Struthio camelus: one gene and its partner. The protein of the gene in region 2 interacts with the protein of the main gene of each other region in a pairwise test. Links are inferred from orthologs where the notes say so. Each region holds a gene or a part of one and is shown on either strand. Other genes may lie near its edges.

Evidence for each region. The genes of interacting proteins can lie anywhere in the genome.
Region 1: the proteins of MYBPC3 (region 2) and ACTC1 interact in a two-hybrid assay, tested with the Homo sapiens proteins (2 studies listed by IntAct). The link is inferred for Struthio camelus from reciprocal best matches to the Homo sapiens genes MYBPC3 and ACTC1.

Annotation. Positions count from the first base shown.
Region 1 is NC_090946.1:50,646,828-50,655,255, forward strand, and holds the start of ACTC1 (actin, alpha cardiac muscle 1), read left to right. Parts: upstream 1-4,940; 5' UTR 4,941-5,178; intron 5,179-5,360; exon of another isoform or gene 5,361-5,493; intron 5,494-5,663; 5' UTR 5,664-5,683; coding exon 5,684-5,812; intron 5,813-6,889; coding exon 6,890-7,214; intron 7,215-7,815; coding exon 7,816-7,977; intron 7,978-8,094; coding exon 8,095-8,286; intron 8,287-8,428. UniProt on the Homo sapiens protein: Actins are highly conserved proteins that are involved in various types of cell motility and are ubiquitously expressed in all eukaryotic cells.
Region 2 is NC_090946.1:39,214,444-39,222,205, reverse strand, and holds the start of MYBPC3 (myosin-binding protein C, cardiac-type), read right to left. Parts: upstream 3,171-7,762; 5' UTR 3,042-3,170; coding exon 2,897-3,041; intron 1-2,896. UniProt on the Homo sapiens protein: Thick filament-associated protein located in the crossbridge region of vertebrate striated muscle a bands. In vitro it binds MHC, F-actin and native thin filaments, and modifies the activity of actin-activated myosin ATPase.

The sequences.
Region 1 (8,428 bases), about 11 Mb from region 2:
TATTTATTTGTACAGTGCTAGCGTCTGGAGACTCATCAAAGATCAAGGGATGATTATGTGACGCTGAACAAACACGCACAAAGCTGTCTTTCATGTTCCATCTCCTCTGGTGTTCAAGTCAGAATTTTTTTTTTATAACTAAACAGTCAAAATGAGATTTGGAGTCTGTTAGAAAAACTGTCCGTCAGCAGTCTCATGTGAAGCTGGTGTCTCTCACAGATGCAGCACAGGACTGGCAGCCAACATACACGCTGGAAACAGTTGATGTGCTCAGGACCTATTTCCATCTTCCTGAACTACTCTGTGTCCCTCGGGATTTCATTTCAGTCCTACCCCTGTCGCACCTGCCATGCTACAGCTTGTGAGAGAAACAGCATTTCTGGAAGCAAGAAATTCCTCCCGTGCAGCCTTCATGTTTTCAGAAACTCTCAACGGTCTCTGAGCCCTTCTTCCTGCTGCAAAGAGAGTATAACAGGAGCGAGAACCTCGGCCTTTAGTTGTAAGTGACGTTGCAAATAATGACTCCTGAGGGTCAGAGACTCAGAAGCATAAATTCCTTTCACTACTGCTCACCTCTGCTTGTTGCCCGTCCCTGCTTCTCTCAGCTGCATAACAAGATGTTTTAGGTGCATCTCTAACTCCTAGTGCCCACCTCATCATTCTATCATTTCAGTGCACACTTAAGATGTTTTAGGTTAATTATAGATGTGCAGCAGTACATGAGTGAGTGAGAGAAAGAGGGAGAGAGATGATAACAGTCTGCAACTATGTGAAGGGTTTAAATGCTGAGGAGGAGACAGGGAATGTAGGGAGCATGATACATGGACTATAACTAGTGCGAATTAGATGCAACTAAGAAAGGGAAACATCTGAATTGACCGGAGAAGTTTGCTTGACAGTGTGATTATTAACTTGGGAGACTGTCTTGTAGCAGAACAGGAGAAAGATTCCTCACTTGGGACTTTCAAAATCAGACTGGGAAATATAAGGGAATGTTTCATAGGGAACGCCTGTAGGTTGGGGGCGACTACAGAGTTGTCTTTTCTGGCTTCCCTGTGTATATCTGCACAGACACGGACAATACTAGACATAACTGCACAGACACAAACAGCCACACATGACCCCCCCCCCCCCCAAGTATGGGATGATGATATTCATATGATACGTTGCAGTGCACCTTTAACATTCTCATCGCATCAGGACTCCTGCCCATTTCTAAGACTCTGCAATGCTTTTTATATTCCTAAAGCACATGCAGCTCCAAACAGCTGTCATGGGACAAAGGAAAACCTGTCAGAGCAGTATTTGCTTCCTATTCTTACAGAGGGAAAATTTCTTCCAAAGATCACACTGGCCTGAGGCTTAGGAAAGGTAAGAGTCAGCTCTGAGCCAGGACAAATTTTATATGTCATGATCCACAGGATTTAGAAATAGGAGACTTTAGCCCGTGAGAAGAGGGAAGTCTTCTGTTCTAAGATGTACCAGGTCAGGGTATACTGTACTTTGAAATCAACATAATGATAGAGTTTGATGTATTATGAAAGTTTATTGGCTTTCTTTGGAGCATCTATAGACAACCAAATATAATCAGAAAGATCAAAAAATACACATAAAGAGGGCCTGATCCCACACATTTTAATTGTCTGAATGCCATGTTCACTACTGTAAATAATCTGAAGTCTGGGGTAATAAGTGTTCAATGCTTGAAGCAAGGTTTTATTTTTAGACTACCTGTTTTCCTCACTCAAAAGCTGAATAGGAACAGGAGATGTGAGGATTTCTGGGCATCATAAGACCACAGTGTGATTTTTTTTATTTGCATTTTTTAGTATGCAGCGCCAAGAACTCATAATTCACTCGTCGTGTTCTGATTTCGACTCTAGTCACAAAAGTGTCTCATTAGTTGAATAACACATCCTGTTTTGCTTATGCCCATGTGTCAGATAAACACATTATTTGTGCTACCCCATTATCTATATATTATTTGTGGGACTCCATTGACTCTGGCTAGACATTAAGCCTTCATATTCCTGTCTGTTCAAGCTCTTTTGAGGTGTGTGCAGATCAGTCCACTGCAGGTCTGTTTGCTGTCCTAACCCTCCCTTCTGCTTGCTGTTCCTTTGCCTCTGGGGTGCCTCCCAGTAGCTAAGTCATGGGAAATGCATAGAGCAGTTAGGGAGCCCGGTCATTCAGAAACTAGAGTATTTTTCCTCTGGCTAACTTTATGTAACACGCTGCAGCAGCTTTTTATTTGTTGGCTTGTTTTGTGTATTTGAGGCTGTAATATCACTTTTTGCAGAGCAGGACAACTTTGGCCAAAGGAATAAGTTTATCTGGGCACTTTTAGGAATGGCTAGGAGGGAGCAGATGCCATTTTGGATTTACGTACATTGTGTGATGCCCTGTTCATTTGACCTTGCGATATACAGTAAGTAGAGAGAGAGAGGAAAGAAAGTGATGAGCTCTCAAGTGTATCAGGATCCCAGATACGAATCCTACTGTATCAGAAATTTAAAACTTCAGGAAAGGGTAGAGAAAGCCAATATTTACTTATAAAGGAAACAGAAGAAAATGCAGGCTGCCTTGCATAGATTTTGCATGCAAGAGCTGGCTCTGTCTGTCTCACTTTCAACAGAGAGTCTCTCTCTCCCCAGCCCAGGGGAATGTAGGATGTGACAGGGAAGGTCTGATTGAGGAGGAATTCAATGCAGCTATCAGCAACTGGCTTCTATGTAAATACTGTAACACCTCTGAACGGAGGAACAGCTGAGATAACACTGAAAGCTAATCTCTAGTGCCGGTGAAGCTGGCCAATCCCTCACGTTATATGGCTTCTGTAGAAAAGATGTGGTAGGGAAAAAAAGAAGCAAATTTAAATTGTATGTGGCAACTCACTATGGACTAAAATGTACTGAATTTTTTAAACTGAAAAACAGGGTACAACAATGTATTTTTCCATTGAAATGTTACTCTGCGCACACATAGTCCATGCTATCTATGCATATATATGACTTCTTATATAAACAGGCATATGGAAATCTACATTGCTATCACCAAAATATTTTCAACCCCGCTACCTACGCCTGATGGATTTAGGTAATTATATACTTACTTGGAGTCCTTATCTCACCAGTATTGATGCTGGATGATTTTTCATCAATAGCAGGAAAGTTAGCAAAGTCAATGTTTGCCACTGGTTCCAGACTAGAAGCACTGAAGGACAGTCCTTCCCTCCTGTAACCTTTTTAGGTCACTGCACTTCACAGTCTTGCACCTCACTCTCCCACACAGCTAAAAAATAGATTACATATATGTATATATATACATACATACACACGTGTGCGCGCACACACACACACACACACACACACACATCTTGCATATATTTGTGTGTATACATATATATACTTTTATATATTTATGAATATACACACACATCTTTACATACAAATAGTGTCTCACCTGAAACAGACTGTCTCTCCTCAAGGCATTTAAAGAAAAGCAGGAGCTAACAATGGCCAAGAAGTGTATTGCTATATGTATCTCAGAGTTGTGTTCATAACTGGGCACAGCCCCAAGATAAGCTGGGGCTGGGGTGGAGCTAACCACCTCATTAAATGTGTTAGAAACGAGCAAACTGATTCCACTATCTCCTGTTTCAGAAGAAATTAAAGTCTAAGAGTCTGACGCCCCCTTTGGTTACATCCGATTTAGAAATGAGTAGTAGGCAATTTCCAGTCTTTGTACCCTTTGTTAGAGCCAAATCACTGTGCAAAGATAGCTCCTACACCAGAAAAGAAAAGAAAAGAAAAGAAAAGAAAAGAAAAGAAAAGAAAAGAAAAGAAAAGAAAAGAAAAGAAAAGAAAAGAAAAGAAAAGAAAAGAAAAGAAAAGAGAAAAGAAAAGAAAAGAAAAGAGAAAAATTGCAGGCCGGATGACATTCACAAGCTCTTTCCTTCCACTTCATTCAAAATGTACTGCGTAGCGGTGCCAGCCCTTTTGCAGCAGCTAAGAAACTCGACCTGTGTGTGTTCAGCGGTGGATCCAGTTCACTGAGCTTTCCCCTCTTGACCCCCACATCCCACCCTTCCCTTCTGCCCCCAAACTCAATTCTTGTTTTCCCAGTGCGTCTTATGCAGGCAGACATCAGCGCGGGGTAGTTTGTGAGCTCCCCAAAGACACTGTACTCCGCACTGTAATGCAGCTCCTCCAGGACACAGGTTGACAGTCTCTGCCTCCGCATACCAGGCCAAACCCACTCAAGGGATGCCTCTCCAGCGGTTCTATTTTTAACTGAAAAAAAATTCTTTAAGAAATATGAATTTGCTAGGTTCTACCGCTGGAACAAATTATCAGTGTGGATGTTTCAACAACTGAGCAGGAAAACAACTGCCACATTACATTAATGCCGTAGCTGTTTCTTGTCCAAGCTATTCCCATCTCTCCTCCTCCGCCCTACACTTATCACTATGCCTTACTGATCCAGGGCGCATTAAAAGGGCAAAAATGGGGAGTTTAAATACATGCAGGCTAACGCGAACCAGCAGACCCCACTTCGTGCTATAGCTGCTGCCAGCCAAAATCGGGGAGAAGCACGGCCGCTGCCTGCATGGGCTCTTCAAAAGTTGCAAAGACACCGAGCGGGCGGCGCTCCCTCCCCAGGCAACGCAGCAAGCACATGCCGCCACGGCGCAGAGCCAAAGCCCGAGCCGTGGCCACCGCGGGGGTCGTCGACTAAGGAAGAGCCCGACTTGTCTTCGGTTAAAGAAGAAAAGCCGGGCTGGGGCTGGGGGGGCTGGGAGACCCTTCAGCCTCCCTCAGCCTTGAAGCCGCGCGCCGGCCCCTCGGGGCATCGCGGGCGCCTCCGCGGGCCCCGCCGCCGCCCAGGCCGCCGGGCGCCCCCCGCTCCCAATTTGGCCATGCGGCGGGCCGGGGGCGCGCGGCCCCGCGCCTGCCTTACAAGGGCCGGGCGGCCGCGCCGCGCCCCGCGCCCTGCGCCATTCATGGCCGCGCGGCGCCTCCATGGCGCGAAGCGACCAAATAAGGAGACGGCGGCGGCCCCCCGTCCCGCGGGAGCCGCCGCCGCCGCCGCGCGGGGTATAAAGCGGCGCGCCTCCCCCGGGCCGGCACCCAGCCTCGCCTCGGGAGCGCCACCGCCGCTGCCGCCGCCGCCCCTCTGGTGAGTAGCGCGGCGGCGCCCTCGGCTGCCCGCGCCGCGCCGCGCAGCAGCGCTCCGCCAGCGGCCAGCCCGGCGGGACGGGACGGGGCGGGGCGGGGCGGGGCGGGCGGGCGGCGCTGTCCGCTTGTGCAGCCGCCGCGGCGGTTTTGCCCTTCGGCGGGGCGCGGCCGCGGCCGGAGCCGGAGCCGGGGCCGGGGCCGGCGGCGCTGCCCCCTTTTGCCGGGCGGGCCCCGACCGGCGAAGTGCTCGAGGCCGAGCCGTTCCCTCTCCGATTTCAAACGCTTTTCTCTTCCGTTACAAATCTGTGGCCCGAAGGTACCGCTAATGAACCATAGTGCTAATGAAGGTCCGCGAAGCCGGAGGCGGGAGTGGGGGGGGGGGGGGCGGTGTCTCCAGGGCGGCGCGGCAGCGGAGGGGGAGCCGCGGCCGCGGCGGTGGGGCGAGGGCCCGGCCCGCTCTGGACGCGCCGCCGCGCTGTTTTGCAGGTCCGCGCCCCTGCCCGAGGATGTGTGACGACGAGGAGACCACCGCGCTGGTGTGCGACAACGGCTCGGGGCTCGTCAAGGCGGGCTTTGCCGGCGACGATGCCCCCAGGGCCGTTTTCCCGTCCATCGTCGGCCGCCCGAGGCACCAGGTAAAGCTGCTGCCCGCTGGGGCAGGGCCGAGGCTGCCCCCTTTGCCCAGAAGTCGTCTGTCCTGAGCTCGTGTGTCCTGCCTCCGCCGCCTCCTCTCCGGCTTTCCTCCCTTCTTTTCGTCCTACTTCCTCAGTTCCTCTCCAGTGCTTCCCCCAGCTCCCCTGTTTGGGTCCCCTTTATCTCGCTGCTGTGAGCTTCTCCTCTTCCCCCAGCTTTTTCCAGTTCACCAGCTTTCCCCTTCGTTCTCTCCCTGTTCCCTCTCCTAGCGGGGGAACCCGGGCTGAACCCCGCTTCCTGCAGAGCTGCTTCCCACTAGGCCAGACCTGCTGCTGCTGTTCACCCATACACGCCTCAGTTGACTGAATTTATGCCCGACACAATTTGTTTCGAGGCCCTTCCCCTACCCGTCCTATCTAACCTATCTAACACATACCAGACCCCATCCCTTGAATTTCTTCTGCTTCTTCTGTGTGTCTCTCTCTCTGTCTGTCTCTAATCTTACCTTCTCACCACCCTTCAGGCCTCCCTTTGCTTGTTCCCGTTTCATTGCCCTTCTATTTTGTCACGATTAAATTGGCTTACAGAGAATACAGTACTTTTTCTCCTACAATTCCATGCTAAAAAGTTTGCAGTGCCTTTTTTTTTTTTTTAACAAAAGCGATTTGGTATTGCCATTGACTAGACTGCCATTGCTCACTAGATTATTTCCCTCCACATCTTTTTGTTTATAAACTCTCTTCCTAGGTCTCTTTTCCTGCTCATTATATTGTGCAGCTTACTTTCAGTCAAACTTTTGGACCAGAAAGAAAGAGCTAATTGAAAATCAATGTCATATTTAGAAAAGGGGAAAAAAATTGATCCTTTCATCTGTTAAAGGGAAAAGGATTTTATTGAAAAATGTAAAATTGTGTTGGCTTAATGTTTAGATAATGCACATTTCCTTTCCTAAATGACCTTTTTCTGGCATGACTGATTGCGTCTTTCTGCAAAATAGCGTAGTGTTCTGTGGCATAATTGTTCAGGCTCTGTGATGCTGCCTTCCTCAAATAACGGTTTTCTACATTTTCTTCTTTTAGGGTGTTATGGTTGGTATGGGTCAAAAAGACTCCTATGTAGGCGATGAAGCTCAGAGCAAAAGAGGTATCCTTACTTTGAAATATCCCATTGAACATGGCATCATCACCAACTGGGATGATATGGAAAAGATCTGGCACCACACTTTCTACAATGAACTGCGTGTGGCTCCTGAGGAACACCCCACCCTGCTCACAGAAGCCCCCTTGAACCCTAAAGCAAATCGTGAAAAGATGACCCAGATAATGTTTGAGACCTTCAATGTACCTGCCATGTATGTGGCAATCCAGGCTGTCTTGTCCCTTTATGCTTCTGGTCGTACAACAGGTAAAATAAACAGTCCAAATAGGAAAAAAAAGTAACTCATTCAAAATTACAAAAAAATGTAGGTTTTTTTTTTTGATTGTAGTTACTGACGATAACAGTAGCCGAAAAGCCACTACAAAAGAATCTATTGAAGGAACAATGTGAATTTGTCTGCATTGCTTTAAAGGGGAGACACTGTGGAATTGATTCTCCTGCTTGTCATGATGTAAATAAGGAGTGATTACTGTGAAGATATTGCAGTTACATTGGTGTAAAACTTGTGCAAGAGTTAAACTCTTGGGCCCAAAAGATGTCCATTTTCAGATCAAGGCAATCACCATCACACATACTTGGTAGGAAAAAGCTGCTCAGATGGACCTCATTTAAAATACTTATGGGCAACTGTTTCATGTGAGCGCTCACACCAAACAGGAATATCTGTGCAGGCAAAGGCAGAAGGAATGGACAAGGTCTGTTTTTAGTAACTGGCTAAAATAGAATGACACTACTTTATACCACATGAAAAATCCTACTTTTTTTAATTGTCTGTGTTACTGCTTGTCATATGGTTTCCAAACATTTGTTAGGTGAATTCAGCTACTCTCTAACAATTCTCTCCCAGGTATTGTTCTTGACTCTGGCGATGGTGTCACCCACAATGTACCTATTTATGAAGGTTATGCTCTGCCTCATGCTATCATGCGTCTGGATCTGGCTGGCAGGGATCTGACTGACTACCTCATGAAGATCCTCACTGAGCGTGGCTATTCCTTTGTGACAACAGGTCAGTCCTTCAGCTTCGCCCTCTTGTGAATATCCTCATGTCTCCCTTGATCCATGGATCTTCTTCCTCTAGTGTTTTGCTTCTCCAAACCTTGACTTGGTTTCTGTATGTCTGCAGCTGAACGTGAGATTGTTCGTGACATCAAAGAGAAATTGTGCTATGTTGCACTGGACTTTGAGAACGAAATGGCCACTGCTGCCTCTTCCTCGTCTCTGGAAAAGAGCTATGAATTGCCTGATGGCCAAGTCATCACAATTGGTAATGAACGTTTTCGCTGCCCTGAAACCTTATTCCAGCCATCATTCATTGGTAAGTGTTTTTGGAAAATTCTTCTTTCAGCAGGAGGTCTGAATGAATCAGAAGAAGTGGAAAGTATCCCACTCCCCTTCCAGCTTATCTAAATTCAGCATCAAATCAAACATAAACAATGAGTTACAGCCTCTGGTTCCTG
Region 2 (7,762 bases):
ACATCCCTTTCATTATTATGCAATATTGCTTCTTATGGAATACCAGTAGGGCTGTGCACTTACAGCCAGGTTATTTATAAACCTTTGATAAAATTTCCTAACCTGAACTGCAAAATATAGACTTCTCAGTGTATAAAAAAGATGAACAAAAATGGACTGATTTTCAGAGAATATGACTAATACCAGGCTTCAGCTTTTTCCAGATTTAGTAATGCCCACATTTTCCATTAAGTTGTGTTTATGTACTAAATTTGATGTTTAAAAGGTCAGCTGTTTCCTCTTACTGTCACAAAATATTATTACGGAAATGGTTGAGATCTTTTAACCTTTTTTGTCTTTTTCACAACAAAAAACAGATCAGCCTTTGAACAGAGACCAACTATGAAAAGTTTAAATGAGAGAGATAAAAGAACAAAAAGTTTCTGCAACTGAATTCTGCAAAAAGTGATGTTTTTCAACGTTTGATAGTTTGTTCTGAAACTGAATTGCTGCTGATGTTCTAAATGCTGTTACTGTTGAGGAGTGTATAGATATTCTGGAAAGCCACTCCAATTCTTCTGGTATGCTGTAAAGAAATAGGACAGTGCCTCATCCTGAAGTATTTGAGTTGGACAATTTGTAATAAAAGAATGTCTGTTGGGAAATCTATTTCACGGCTTTAGTTTAAACGTTTACAGACTTTTTTTTTCTTTTTTTCTTTCTTTCTTTTTTTTTTCTTTTTTACGTAGTGAACAGGTTGTTAAAAGAGCAGATGTGATAGAATATTTCTGATTATTCTCTGGCTTGAAGCATTTTCCCTTACGTATACACTGGATGCCCTAATTCCAGTAATACACCCTAGAGATCCTCATAGAGTGTTATAACTATGTGATATGCAAAAGCCAGGAATCACGATTTGTCCAAGAAGGAACTGCTAGATGCTTATTCAGCCCTCCTGAGATCACACACAACATTATCCTGTCTTGACATGGTTTGAACTATATAAACAACTTGAAGTAGAAAACCAAAGGGATTAATATCTCTTGGGAGAATACAAAGATCCGCTCTAGAAGTTATGGGGCATGTGACTGGTTCTGTCTCAGTCAGAGTGGGTAATAAGAGCTTTTCCTCCCCCTGCTGTGATCATCACAATGTTTGGGCTCGTTTGTTCACAAGAATTGAGTAGGACTAGTGATATTAGATGCCTGTCAGATTTCTTCTCTTTGGAGAAGTAAGCTGGAATAATAAGGTCCATTTTTCTTCATCGTTAACTAGCAAAGGTGGGCAACTTCACAGTCAGAGAAGCCCATCCTGAGAGGTGCAAAATGTTAATATGAAGTTTTTAATCTATACAAAAGGAATTTACAAATGCAAAAACTGACTGCTTTATCAAAGGCAGTTAAACCATTAAAAATCAGAAGTAACAATGCCTAGGAGATTACACTGTCAAATTTCAGCTACTCAATCTTTTTGCCATCATTGGCAATCGCAAACATTTGATCTTTCAAGAAATCTCAAACATCATGTGATTTTAAAAATATAATACATTTATGGATATCTTGTATTTTGTGATTGGTGAACCTTTACAGCTCATATTTTCAAGGTTTTCTCTACAGTCCCGAGGTCTGGTATATACTTATTTTTTACATAAGATTGCACTTTCATCTGATCCCAGAAACTGCAGCTCTAAGAACATCAAATGTTGTGATAGTTGTGTAGAAACTGAAGAACTGATGACACCACTGTCGCTTCAGAGTTTTAGTATAGAAGGACATAGAGAGTCTTGTTGAAATGAGCCATGCTTTAATGCTTTGCAGTTCTTAATGAGCGACATGGTTTGGATTTGTGATCTGTCTCTGGCAGCGTCTGATTCCAAATATTTGGCCAAAATGAAAGATCTTCCTAACAAATACAGGCTCTTTTGTTGTGGCAGGCACAGCAGATTTTCCCCTTGACCAGCATAACAGGGGATCAATGGCTGTTCAGTCTTTTGCAAAGTACAAAAAGGCCTACATTAATAAGTATCAACAGCTATTACTGACTAACCCTGGAAAGTGTGTGCTGTAAAAAAACCGTGCATCTCGTACTGTACATTCTGATATTAGTGATTCTGAGTATACGCTGGCATCAATGAAATGAAAGTCTGGCTCTAAAAGTGAAGAATCCCAGATTTAGTACAGTTTCCTCCATCACTGTATACTGTATTTGCATTTTTCAAACAATCATAACTTTACCTTTCAATATCTTTTTTTCAAACTTAATTGTGGGCATGGAGCGCTCCGGAGCCATCTTTCTCTATCCACACACATGTTCTGCAGGTAAACTCTCCCTAGCTGTGCTTCCCACTGTCTCTTCTTCCTCCTTCTCAGACACACAGTGTCCTTGCACCCCATCTTATACTTTCTAGACCTCCTCTTTTTTCCTGTGTATGCATCTCCTTAGTTCTTAATTTTAAAGAGAGTAAGTTCTGAACCAGCTGCCGTGAGCTTTAATTTTCGTAGAGATTTCACTACCAAAAAATACAATCAAAGGTTGCTACTGATACTTTCTGGCAGGTATCATGAAAAAAACCCCAGGAGATATTTATACCGCCCAAAAGGCCCAAGAGAGAGACTATAGGCTTCTTTCACAGCCCTGAAGGTGACTGGGAGAGGAGGTGAGAAACGGAAAAAATCGGAGAATTCAATATGTTTCACCTCTATCCTCCCCCCTCATCCAAAGTCTCTGGAGATAATTTTGTGACTGAGGGTTGCCAAATGAGTTACTGATTTCTCTACAAGATTACCCGACATCTCGGTTTTAATAAGTTTATAAAATATTGTTTCTGTTCTCTCTCTATTATTTTGTTATTGAGGCATCTCATTTCTCTAGCATACAAAAACTAGCCCAAAATTTTTCTGTCAGTTGTGATCCTTACCTGTTTTCTTTACAGGCTCTGGCATCTTCACTTTGTTTCTGCTGAAGCTCCCAGTTGTATCTAGAAAGCAGGATCTGAGCTGAATAGGAATGAGACTGCAAGGCTTTTGGGACCCCCTAAAGAAACACTGAGTGGAAGCCCCCATCCTGCTCCTCCCCCTTGATTCCCCACTGTTGTCAGCTACGGCACCTTATCAACACCAGGACACACTTGACAGACTACATCAGCCAGGATAAATATAGCAAGTTCCAGGAGCCAGAGAGCTCACACTGCTCAAGACTGGCTACCACTGATCTATTGGTACAAACCGGAGGACAATCTGATGCTGCACATGCATACAATGCTTTTTCTGTCCTCACATATATATAATTCATTAAGAATTCCTACACTGCCCGTGTTTATAGCACATTTTATAAACTGGATTTGGCAATTATATGTCCTGTATGCTGGTTCTATACTAACTGTGTGTGTTTGCTTGCATACTTGCTGCTGTTTCAGGCTCTGTTATTGTTATAATCGAGTCAGACCTGAATGGCTCCTCAGAAAGCTTTTTTCTTGTTTTTTTTTTTTTTTCTCTTCTACTGAAGACTCTGTAGAACTAAATGTGAGCCTTTGGGAAGGAACTTACTTTTTCAGAGACACTTGTACATTACTGACATTTGCAGTCACAACTGGAAAGCATGACACTACTTAAATAGTTTCAGTCATCCCTCCCCATCCACCCACTTGTTCTGCAGCATAAATCTCGTGAAAACTGCCAGACATGTTTTTATTTTTTTTAGCACCATTTGAAAAATGGTTCCAGGGCTTTATTAGATACCTCTAGAAGTTTTAATTTGGCTGAATTACGTAGAAAATCTTAGGGTATCTCACCAGGAAATTATTCTGGTATTGCTATTTCAGAAATTGTCACTCAGTGTCTGAATGTTGTCTATACTTTTATCACAGCACCTCCTATTCTTTTAGGACAAAAAAATAAAGCTGTGCAGGTTTACATAAAACACTAACTTCTGAAGATGGTGTGTCTATAACAGAGATCGCGGCCTCACTTCCAAAGTGATGGAAAGGTCCTGCTTGCTCTAAAGCAGATGGGGAATTAATCCTGCCATCCGATGGGTGATAGAAGAATTGCGTGTGAATGTTTCCCTTTGGAAATGTATTGGATGCTCTAAACCATGCTTCCTTTGAAAGGTGATACAATCATACTTTAGATTAAATTCAAACGATGTGTTATTTGTGGGTAGTAACCATCTGTAAGCCATTGTTTCCTAGGGAATTTGAGAGAAGTTTACACTAATCTGAAAAATAAAGTATAATGGGATAATAGGTCAGCAAGGATATATATAAAATCAGATGATGGAGTGTTCCCAGTGTGTATTAGGATGGAAAGCTAAACAATATACTCCGCAGTTCTTTATTAATGCTGGGAGTGGAGCGTACAGGAGTTCGTCCCTGTGGTGCTTTCTGAAAATTTGTAAATAAGATTTAGTCTGTTCATAATCTCTCTTGCTTATTCATGACAGATACTTAGAAACTTTTTTAGGGCTAAAGAGTTATGGACTGCTATGAGTGCCTGGGAACCTTTTCCCAATGCCTTTCATGTTTCCCAACCTATAAATATATATATATATGTTTTTAAATAGTTAGTCCTTACTCAATGTGAGTGTATCATTTTCCTTTTCCTGAATGGATTTTTCACCTACATAAAACACCTGCCATCGTATTTTCTTTGGCTCTTTGCTTAGGATTTCATTTAATCTATTCCATATCTTTCTCACTGTAAATTTGATTCTCTTTGTAAACATGTAGTGGATGTGGTTTTAATTCAGCGAGCTACTGAAGGGCTTGAATAACTTTAACTGTGGACTTCATTTTGATTACTTTTGTGCTCAGAATTAGGCGTATTTGATACAAGTACTGTGCTGACTCAGTCCCTTAGCTGGGTATTCTCCATAGATACTTTCCAGGATTTAGAATCATGTTTAATTTTGAGAGGGTATGAGTTACTTCTTCTCCTAGTGAAACAGAGCAACAAGAATTATTTCATCTGACACAGGGAAATGATCCTATCCCACGGTTATAACTTTACCATTATGTGATTTTAAATATATTATTTAAAATATGTCAGCTTGTTCAAGGCAGAGCAAAACAAATGTTTTCCCTGCTATTACACTTCTGGTTACCAGGTGGCAGCATTGTAGTGTTAATGAACCTTTTTCTAGCATTTTCTATATTATTTTGTTTATTTATTTATAGAGCCACTTTCACTAACAAAACTGCTAATACAAATGAAATATATGATAGGGATTGCTTCACTGTCCCAAAAATAGACCCATGTGTGTAGTGGATTGTGATAACTTCTTATCAGTGCACCACAACACTAGACAGTTTTTAAGAAAGTATATGAAGATTCATCCTCTACCGCAGTGAAACTAATGCACGAACATGTAAAGAAATATGTAATAAATATATCTGGAGTTTTGTGAGAACAGTAAATAGGAGGGAAAAGGGTGTCCTTTCTTGTCAGAGGAACAATCTTACAAGTCTGAAACTATTTTTCTGTGCCTGAGACAGTGGCTTTGTCATGTATTTCAGAGTCAAGTTTAAAAAACAACAGTAATAGATGACCTGCAGTGACAGGCTATGTGATGTATCTTCCTGATTTTGGATAGTTACAGCCTGGCTTATACAGAGAAACACAAGGATTTATTATTTATAGACAAAGTTAGCAGCACCTCCTTCTAATAAGACTACCCAACTTCCTATTAAAAGAATGTGTTTTTAGATGGTTACGACTTAGACCAAATTTAGCTGTTCAGGCAGAAAATATATATACTGCTTGTCTACTCTGGGCTTTTTTAGCTTTTTGTTTCTGTCACACCATCTGATTTTTTGTCTGTATCTTTTTATCTTTCTACCTTTCAGGTTTGTTTTGTGAAAATATCACCTCAGCAATCCAGGGTCTGAGGACAAGGTTAGTATAATTAACTTGCAGTTTTCTGGGTTTTAGATTTACTGGTACAAATGCTGAGATAGCTGAGCTGGCTATGTGCAGAGCACAGGTCTGGCAGGATTCGTTTGCTCAAGTGCTGCACCCCATGAAACCAGCTAGACTGTTTCCAGGAAGAACTTGGTGTCTTAGTATTGTGCTTTTGGACCACAAAGCTCTGGGGCACGTGGTGCAAAGGCACTTGACCTCATTGGCAGAACTCGGGTCTCTGAGGACTTACTAGACCTGTGTTAATGCTGATCCTGCTCATCAGAGCTTGCTCCTGCACAACCATTTTATATCCCTACACTGTACATCTCATATTTTGGATCTTTCTAGACATTTGATGCTTTAGTAGCTTTTAGTTCAGGGGTGTACTTTTGACTGGCTACATGAAAATCAACCTGAGTTGTTCCATGTTATAAACTACAGAAAAAAATGCAGTTTACATATGCTTAGTGAGAACTTCTTAGATTTTATCCTCTGAAAGTTTTAACTGTTATCAGTTGTGGTCCAGTACAGGGTTCAGCAGGTTTTTCCCTGCGTTTGTCTCTGGGCTGTTGTGGGGCTTGAGCTAAATCCATGCACTTGAACTGAGAGAAAACAGCATACTGAGAGAAAGCATAATGAGAAACAGCATACTGAGAGAAAACACAGACTGAGAGAAAGCATGTCTTGTGTTCCAAATAACATCTCTCAGTCTCAGATAAAATGGAAGGGAAAGCTGTCTGATCTGAATGAAGGGGGCAAAGAATTGGACCTTCAGGGAGACAGACGTGATAGAGTGGGACAAGCAAAAATAACAATATGTGATTGAAGGGTAGGGTGGGAAGAAGAAAACTGAGACTAGAGGTTGTGGGAGGGGTTTGAAATCAATCTTCAAAAGACAAGAATATTGAGTAGGAAGCTGGGGTACAAATGAGAGGGAGGGAAGAGAACTAGGAGTTAGTAACTGATGAGACTGAAACCGTAAGGGGATATGAGATGGGAAAACTAGAAATGACTGAATAAATGTACTGGAACTGAGAACCATTCACATAAAGAGAAGCCAGGAAGAGGCAAGTGTCGGAAAAGTTGGTATGAGAGGAAGAAATAAGACTAGCTGACAAAAATTGAATGCTGACTTTGAGGATAAGGCAACTGGGATCTAATACGGACATGTCTGGTGGCTGGGTCTAGAGACAGAGAAAAGCTGAGTGAAGACCTCGGAGTGGATAACTGGGACTGGCTGAAAAAGGAAACAGGAACAAAGTGCTGGTGGATGGAAAAAAGTGGAAGACAGAATGTGTAAAGAAGAATTCTATAATTATGTTTCCAAAAGCAAGCACTTAAAACTCAGGAAATTAGTTGGTTAAACCTAAAAGAAACCCAGACTGATTTGTATAGGCAAATGCCCAGCTCAGTACCCAAACATTCTTGACTTTGCATAAAGCAGAGGCATCCAAGCATTCTGCAAAAAGGCATCAGTGGTCAAAGGGCTTCTCGCAGAAGAGCACTGCTGCTCTGCTGCTGGGGAGCTGAAACAAAAGCTCAGAGGGAGCCTTTAAAGCACAGAAACTGCATTCCTTCCTACCACAAAGCCGCTTCCCCAATCCTTTGCATAACCTTGGTCTCCCCAACACCTCCTCCCACCCTTCCTTCTCCTCCACCACCTCCTGCTAAACCTTATCTGCTCTACCACATCCTCATTCTTCTCCTGTCCATAGACTGCTCTGCTCATTCTCACGTACTCCTTTGGCTCCCCAGTAGTGAAAAGTAACACTGTGGGGAACTAAAAGCGTAAAGAAGGGGGGATGTGGCTGTATGAGTGGAGAGAATGGAAAGAAACACGGAGCTGAAAGGAAGTTGCCCTGAGAAACCTGATCTAATTGGCCCTG